Coturnix japonica: one gene and its partner. The protein of the gene in region 1 purifies or fractionates together with the protein of each later gene. This does not show direct contact. Links are inferred from orthologs where the notes say so. Each region holds a gene or a part of one and is shown in the gene's direction. Other genes may lie near its edges.

The links.
Region 2: the proteins of LATS1 (region 1) and SAV1 purify together in Homo sapiens (affinity purification with western blotting; 3 studies listed by BioGRID). This does not show direct contact. The link is inferred for Coturnix japonica from reciprocal best matches to the Homo sapiens genes LATS1 and SAV1.

What each region holds. Positions count from the first base shown.
Region 1 is NC_029518.1:43,371,864-43,375,676, reverse strand, and holds part of LATS1 (serine/threonine-protein kinase LATS1), read left to right. Parts: coding exon 1-214; intron 215-1,201; coding exon 1,202-1,384; intron 1,385-1,594; coding exon 1,595-1,701; intron 1,702-2,652; coding exon 2,653-3,159; 3' UTR 3,160-3,813. UniProt on the Homo sapiens protein: Negative regulator of YAP1 in the Hippo signaling pathway that plays a pivotal role in organ size control and tumor suppression by restricting proliferation and promoting apoptosis.
Region 2 is NC_029520.1:52,524,765-52,529,367, reverse strand, and holds the start of SAV1 (protein salvador homolog 1), read left to right. Parts: upstream 1-1,616; 5' UTR 1,617-1,759; coding exon 1,760-1,853; intron 1,854-2,450; coding exon 2,451-2,897; intron 2,898-4,603. UniProt on the Homo sapiens protein: Regulator of STK3/MST2 and STK4/MST1 in the Hippo signaling pathway which plays a pivotal role in organ size control and tumor suppression by restricting proliferation and promoting apoptosis.

The sequences.
Region 1 (3,813 bases):
CTAATTAGAATGGGTGTCTTTCCGGAAAATCTGGCACGGTTCTACACAGCAGAACTGACCTGTGCAGTTGAAAGTGTTCATAAAATGGGCTTCATCCACAGAGATATTAAACCTGACAATATTTTGATAGATCGTGACGGTCATATTAAATTGACTGACTTTGGACTCTGTACAGGTTTTCGATGGACCCATGATTCAAAATACTACCAGAGTGGTAAGAGAAATATAAAACTTGTTGTTGGAATGTTATTCTTTTGAAGAAATTAAATAATGAGTTAAAAGATGGCTGCAACATTACCAACATAAATGTTAAAGCATCTAACAGTGTTTCTACACACCATTCAAATTGCAGAGCACAATGTTTAGGGAGCCTTTCTGAGTGTAGGTAGGCACTGATTCCTTAAGAGAGAAGCAATAAACTGTGGTGCTGAAAATTTGTTCCATTACTACCTCCTGAAACTTGGAGAGAAAAGATGTAGTGGCATAATTGCATAGATAACAACTCTAACTCTATTTGGAAGGTAGGGCTGATGTTTTAGATTGATCGTTCTTGGAAAATCTGCTGAATGTCTTTGCAGCTGTTGATTTCTTTTGAAACCCTTCTTGATGACTTAAAACAGTGGTTTGAAAAAAGAGGAAAGAAAAACAATTCCATGAGTGATAAAATATAGATTATATATTAATCGAAAATTAACTTTTTAATTCTTGGAGGTTTCTTTTTATTTGAAAAAGTACCTTTGAGTTACTGTTAGACCAGGCTACTTTGGAGTCTCTCAAGAGAAAGCAGAAGTGTTTGTGTTATTCCATATTAGAGATTGAAACTGATGTCTTGGAAGGCTTAAAACCTGATTGATTTTTATCTTTTTGGTAATTAGCATCAATTGATGCTTTAAATGTTGTTTTTCTCTCTGTGTAAGAGCAAAAACAATATACATGCTGTACAGTCAGTATGGTTATGTTAAGAAAAAACTTAAGAATCAAACTTTCTCATAATTATGCTAAAAAGTAACTTCTCAGGTGTGGATTGTATTATAAGCAAAAAGTCAAAATCCTGATGTTTTAAAACATTTCAGATATTTTTCTTGAGTAGTGAAATAGTTTCTATTTTGTAATAAAAATATAATAAATGAAGAGAATTTCATTCTAGTTGAGCTCTGAAATCGCCTTTCTCAATTTTGGCATTATTCTCACACACTTGCAGGTGATCACGCACGTCAGGACAGCATGGATTTCAGCAATGAATGGGGTGACCCAGCGAACTGCAGGTGTGGAGATCGGCTGAAGCCACTCGAACGTAGGGCTGCACGTCAGCACCAGCGCTGTCTGGCCCATTCCCTTGTTGGCACACCTAATTATATTGCACCAGAAGTGCTGCTACGAACAGGTAATGCGTTTATTTTTATTTTTTTATCACAAACTTTCTGCAACGTAACTGGCATTCAGGTAGCAGCTTCACATTTCTTACATGAGTGCTTTTCCCAAGTGTGTATCTTGAGTATTAATATGGAAATCTTAAATGTATTGAATAGAATTATCTTGTGAACTTGCAGGATTAAATGCATGCTGAAGCTTTGAGTACTTCTTTTTCCTTCAGGTTACACACAGCTGTGTGACTGGTGGAGTGTTGGAGTCATTCTCTTTGAAATGTTAGTGGGCCAGCCTCCTTTCCTGGCACAAACACCTCTGGAAACACAAATGAAGGTAATTTTAAACATCTCATGGTAGCAGGTAGAAAAAGCTGAAAAAACAGAGTTGCAGTGGACATGATGCTTTTAATTTATAATGGAATCAAAGGGGATTTTTTTTGAGAGTGCTGCTCTTTTTAAGGATGTTAAGAGCTAGCAGGATTCTAAATGTTATAGTGGTGCTCTGCTTATTTTGTAAGGGGACTTCAAGAATCACATTTGTGTATTTTATCTGGTTATGCTGCAGTTGTAACAAGTAAAATCACGTTTCATTTCTCAGCCTTCCTCTATAACTAGAAGTATGTGCAGGAAGTTATTAATTCCACTTTCTTCTCATTTTCCAGCAATCTGAGTGGTGTTCTTCTACCACTGAACTTCCATGCTCACTTATCTGCAGAAGATTTCTTTTTTGCAATATCTGCAGGTGCTCAGCATGTGAGAATGGAGGAGTGTGTCTGCTTAGGGTTGCTGGCAGCTCAGAGCTGTTGGTTTTTCCCTTTCCAACCTCACCTGGTTGAGAGACTACAAGGCTAATGCGTTATTCTGCAGTGCCATTTTAATGTAACAGCATTCAACTCCCATAGTTGGCCCGAATGTACTTCTGTATTGATGTGTAACTTCAAATTTGTTGGTCTTTACAATAGGTGAAATAATTCATTCATCTCACCTTCTTTGAAGATTGTAGGCCCTGTTAAGCACCGGTTGTTTTTTTTTATGATATCTTGTGTGTTTATGGCAGGCATATTCCATGCCAGACTCTAGTTCAGATCTGGGCTGTGAACAAACTTTATCTGAATTGTGCCAAATTTTCACACAAAGTGTTCTTTCTGCTTCTGGAAAAGCAGCTTCACATTTGCCCCCATTAGTCTGAAGGCATTACTTCTGTTGAGTGACTTTTTTAATTTTCACAGGGGATTTTCTTTTTTCTGGAGTTGTAAATAAAATAACGCATCTTCTTACTTTAAAGGTTATCAACTGGCAAACTTCCCTTCATATTCCACCTCAAGCTAAGCTGACTCCGGAGGCCTCTGACCTTATTATTAAGCTATGCCGAGGGCCAGAAGATCGTTTAGGCAAAAACGGTGCAGATGAAATAAAAGCTCATCCATTTTTTAAAACTATTGATTTTTCGAGCGACCTGCGGCGGCAGTCAGCTTTCTACATTCCCAAAATCGCTCATCCTACGGACACGTCAAACTTTGATCCAGTCGATCCAGATAAATTGTGGAGTGATGATGATAAGGAAGGAAACGTGAATGATACGCTTAACGGATGGTACAAAAATGGAAAACATCCTGAACATGCTTTTTATGAGTTCACATTCCGAAGGTTTTTTGATGACAATGGCTACCCATACAACAATCCAAAGCCCATTGAGTATGAGTATAGTAGTTCGCAGAACTCAGACCAGCAGTCTGATGATGAAGAACAAGCAGGTAGAGGGGTTCAAAATCGTGACCTAGTTTATGTTTAGTAGAGGAGTGAACACTAAATAAACAGTTTATTTTGCAGCTGATGTTTTTGAGAAGTGTTTTCTCTGAACAGAATTGAGAGAAGATCGCTAGGGTGAATATATGCATGTTATTTTAAACACTAAGTTGTCTTCATTTTTCCATCTTTGTACATTTTGTTTCCCCCAAAATCCAGGAAATTCCTTTTCAAAAATTAATTTATTCCAACATTGTTAATTGTTTAATTTAGAAGAGATTTGATGTTAGGTGAAAAAAATTATCACTTGAATTTTATCATTGATCTCTGTACTCTAAGTACTTAAAATAGGAAGTAGTGATTTATTTTTTTCCACCCTGAAATGATGCCTGATATCTATTTGTACATATACTAAATAATTTTTAAAAAACAAGTCTTTGTTTCAATTTTTTTTTTAATGACAGCTCTTCCTTCGCATTGACCAAATATAAAAGTAACTTGACACTAATAAAGCTATCTGATGAGTTTGGCAGCCCCCTCCTCCCCTTCCCTGTACCCTCACTGCTCACTGTATTTAGTTGTATTTATTCAGTGCTGGGGAAAACTGAGCCATCTTATCTAGTGAAACATTTCCAGCTGCTGTGGCAGTGGCGTAGTTCTCAGCTTTCAAACAGGAAAGAGTCTTGGCTATACTATCATT
Region 2 (4,603 bases), on another chromosome or scaffold:
GAGCACACCTTGAACCATGCTTACACGAAGGAAATGAGCAAAGTTTGAAAATATTTCCTGGAAACACCACAGTTATGGTTCAGATGATCAGAACTGTGTTTGGAAATGCATTATTAGCTACTACATATTAACACCACTCCATATATTGCCCAGGGAGTGCTGGGCTCACCATCCCTGGGGGTGCTCCATTGCTGTGGGGATGTGGCACTGAGGGACGTGGGCAGTGGGCACAGTGGGGTGGGCTGGGTTGGGCTTGGGGGTCCTGGAGGGCTTTTCCAACCTGAATGGTTCTGTGATTCTACAAAAACAAGGGAGCCAAGCTTGATGTTAGCACTGGAATACAGGGGAGAAGCAGAGAAAAGGGATTCTATCTGTTCCTCTTCTCTCCCTATCCTGTCTCATCCACGTTTCTTTCTTCCAAACACCATCCTAACCACAGGAAAGGACTGGAGAATGATGGAGGAGAAACACAGTAGACAAAAAACCCAAATCTCATTGGAATGCTTGTGCGAATGAGTTCTCAGAAGTGCCTTTTGTCATTTCTATGCTGTACCGCTTTTGTTGCTGCAGGACAATTCAGGACAAACCCTTCCCAGGTGGGGGGAATGGTCACGGTGCTCCAACCAGTGTTGTGTTGCTTGTTGTGTCAGCTCAAGGGATAAGCAGCTCATCCCACAGTGTCAAGGCTACTGAAAATAAGCATAGAAACATGCAAACGTGCAAAGCATTTTGTGGTCTTTTGTGCATGAATGTGTCTCCTATGCACTACAGGCATTTTTCAGATACCAAAGTATTTAGCGATGTGGTAAGTCACTGAATTTCTGGGCCTCCTTGGTACAGCAGGGCTCGCCTGTTTGGCTATCAGTAACTGCACGGCCAGAAGGTGTTTTCAATGCTTTCAACTCTCATTTTATGAATCACTGTGAGAATAAAGGCATGTGGGTATCCAGGGCTGGAGTCTGGGGAGCAGGAGGGGGCAGAGGAATCGCACTCGTGTTAAATGGACGTGAGCTGAATTCACACCATTGAAGTACTACATGTCAATTTAGGATGGTATAAAAGCATGCTTTGCTACCTATATTCCCATTGCTACTTTGGGTACAAAGCAAATTGAATTAGTTCAGTTCTGGCTGGAAAAGGAAGGGTTGTAACATACTTTTAGCCAATGAATAGGCGAGGTGGAGCTGGGGACAGCCCAGCTCTGTCCATTACAACACAAACAGCATCACCAGCCCTCAGGTGTTCCATGCCTTCCTGCTGTGTGTGATGCTGGCACTGCTGACCTGTCTAATGCATAAATGGAAACAGTTGGTCTTTGGGTACGCTTGTTTTTGCTGCGCGTCGTCATGTGCTGACCTTACACCACCACGTGAAGGGGAAGGAGGGACCAAGCTGTGTGTTATTTATCATGAATGTAAAGAAATGAAATAAATCACTGTCAGATCCCTGCTTGTGGCTGGTTGTTTCCCATCCTTTATGGCAGGGCTGGGTGATGAATCTCGAACCAAGCAGAGTGCTGTACCGCCACACTCCTTCCGCTAGAGGGCGCTGTGACCGCGCCACCGCGACGCTCTGTCCCCGTCGTTCCTCCCGTCTCGTCTCCTCCCCAGGCGGGGCCGCCGCCCCACAACGCCCCGCGCCTAACGGCCCCGCCGCCCGCCCCACACACGGCCCCGCTGTGAGCCCGAGGGCGGCCCGGCCCTGCCCGAGCGGAGCCGGGTATGCGGGCGTTGGGAGCGGGCCGGGAGGAGGAGGTGGGATGTTGTCGAGGAAGAAAACGCGGGCGGAGCTGTCGAAGCCCGGCGAGGTGCAGGGGAAGTACGTGAAGAAGGAGACCAGCCCGCTGCTCCGCAGTGAGTGCCGTGCCGTGCCGTGCCGTGCCGTGCCGTGCCGTGCCGTGCCGTGGGCTCCACACGGCCGCGTTGTTCCCCCTCAGCCCGGCGCTCAGCTGCGCCCTCGCCCGGCCCGGCCCGCACCGAGCTCAGGGCTGGGGCTGGGCGGGGGGAGACACCGCGCTGCGGCCTGGGGGGGCTCTGTAATAAACGGGGGGGGTTGGGGCTCCGTGAGCCTTGAGCTCCCTCCCAAGCCGGGCCGCGCTTTGATTGTGTGATTGAGCTGGTGAGGTGTTGATAGGGCGGGATTCACGGGGCTTGGGCTGGATCTTGGTGTAACGGAGAGGTTTAGAGCCTGACTGATAAGGGGTGGGAGCTGTTTGTGTTGGCTTCTTTGGCTGTTAAACTGCGCTTCTTTGGCAATAGCTTCTGTTGCACATGGAGGGTGTGATGGCTTTTGTTGCTGCAGCCCTACTGTTACGCTGCTACACTGAGAGGTGCTTTAAGGGGGCTCTGGCATCAGAATGGAGTTACTTCCATGCTGTAAGTCAGACACTTTGGCTCGCCAAATACCATAAGTGCGTACAAAGCTCTCATTTCCTTTCTCTGCTGTACCAGATCTGATGCCTTCCTTTATCCGTCACGGTCCGACCATTCCAAGACGAACTGACATCTGCCCTCCCGACCCGAGTCCTTCTGCTTATGGCTCTGCTGGAGATGGAGCTGTTTCCAGAAACCAGAGTTTCCTTCGGACGCCGGTGCAGAGGGCGCCCCATGAAATAATGAGGCGTGAAAGCAACAGACTGTCTGCACCTTCCTACTTTGCTCGAAGTTTAGCTGACGTCGCTAGAGAATACGGCTCTTCCTCACAGTCCTTTCTGACAGAAACCAACTCGGTTATGGAAAATGGAGATGCCGGCACACGTTGTTACTATTATGATCACTTCTATGATGCCCAGAGGAGACGGCAATTGAATGATCGCTTGCATGAGGACTGCAGGTATTATGAGCACGGTGGGGAGCTTTTCCAGAGGATGGCTCACAACCATGGGAGGCGCATGTCAGGTGAGGATGGGTTCATTGTGCCCTTCACATATCACTGAACAGCTTTAGGTACATAGGATCCCAGAATGGCCTGGGTTGCAAAGGCCCACAGTGCTCATCCAGCTCCAACCCCTGCTGTGTGCAGCGTCACCAACCAGCAGCCCAGGCTGCCCAGAGCCACATCCAGCCTGGCCTTGAATGCCTGCAGGGATGGGGCATCCACAGCCTCCTTGGGCAACCTGTTCCAGTGCGTCACCACCCTCTGGGGGAAAAACTTCCTCCTAAGATCCAACCTGAACCTCCCCTGTCTCAGTTTCAAACCATTCCCCCTTGTCCTGTCACTGCCCACCCTCACAGTTGTTCCCCCTCCTGTTTATACACTCCCTTCAAGTATTGGATGCCCACTATGAGGTCTCCTTTCAGTCTTCTCTTCTCCAAGCTAAACAAGCCCAGAATATCATTGTGTCATTTGATTTTTGTTAATTTTATAATGAATTATTTATTGTGAAACAATGAGTAATGACTGTTTTGTGTAATCAGCAAATTGATGTGTAGTTAGTGCTAAAATTCACTTCCTAGTGTCTGAATTCTTTTTGGCTTATAATATTGTAATATTGTGAAGACAGGCTACAGGAGCTGGGTTTGTTCAGCATGGAGAAGAGAAGGCTGCGGGGTGACCTCAGTGCAGCCTGCCAGGACCTAAAGGGAGCCTACAGACAGGAGGGGAGACAACTCTTTACAAGGGCAGATAACAGCAGGACAAGGGGAAATGGTTTGGAGTTGAAGGAGGGAAGATTTAGATTGGATGTCAGGGGGAAGTTCTTTACTGTGAGAGCGGTGAGGTGCTGGAACAGCTGCCCAGAGAGGCTGTGGATGCCCCGTCCATCCCTGGAGCTGTTCAAGGCCAGGTTGGATGGGGCCCTGGGCAGCCTGGGCTGGTATCAATGTGGAGGTTGGTGACTCTGCCTGTGGTGGGGGGTTGGAGCTTCATGATCCTTGTGGTCCCTTCCAACCCAGGTCATTCCATGTCATTGAGGAAGAGTCATGATCACACACTTTCAGGGACCTGCTGCATTTTTCTTATGGAACAAGAGAATCAGAAAAGAAATCCCTTCAGTATTTGTTTTTGAAGTATTTGGTTATCTGTGATGACACAGAAGAGTCTTTTGTATGTCATGCTGCTGTCAATGTACTGAAAGAAGAAATGTGAGATGTCAGTGTTACCCATAGAACTGTGACCTTGCAGGCGGTGTTTGAGTGGTGTTTCTACTGCTGAAATGATGCTCAGGGAGGAGTTTGAGAGCAGCACTCCAGACCTTTAAATAATGCAGTGAAATATGCTGTTAGTTCATTGTTATTTGCAATCTGCTGGTAAAATTGTCAGCACTGAACTTGTGGGTGGAGCTAAAAAGCTGACAATGCTTTGCTGGTGGTGTTTGGTTTTTAATACAGAGATGTTCCATTGAAGCATGGCAGGAGAGCAGTGCTGGCATCGCTGCTGCCAGGCAGTGCAGATTGAGATGCTGATGTTTAAGACTTGCTGCTTCATCCTTAACTTTGCTCAGTGCTGCCTAATTACATCAGTTCTATTTAGACTGTGTGAAAACCCCTCCATCTCTGCTGGCTGCTCATCATTAAGCACGGATCTGTTTGTCTCCAGGCATTCTTAGCCTTTGGAAAACAAGGAGCTGCTGATGTGTGCTTGGTCTTTGTCACCTGTGTATGTT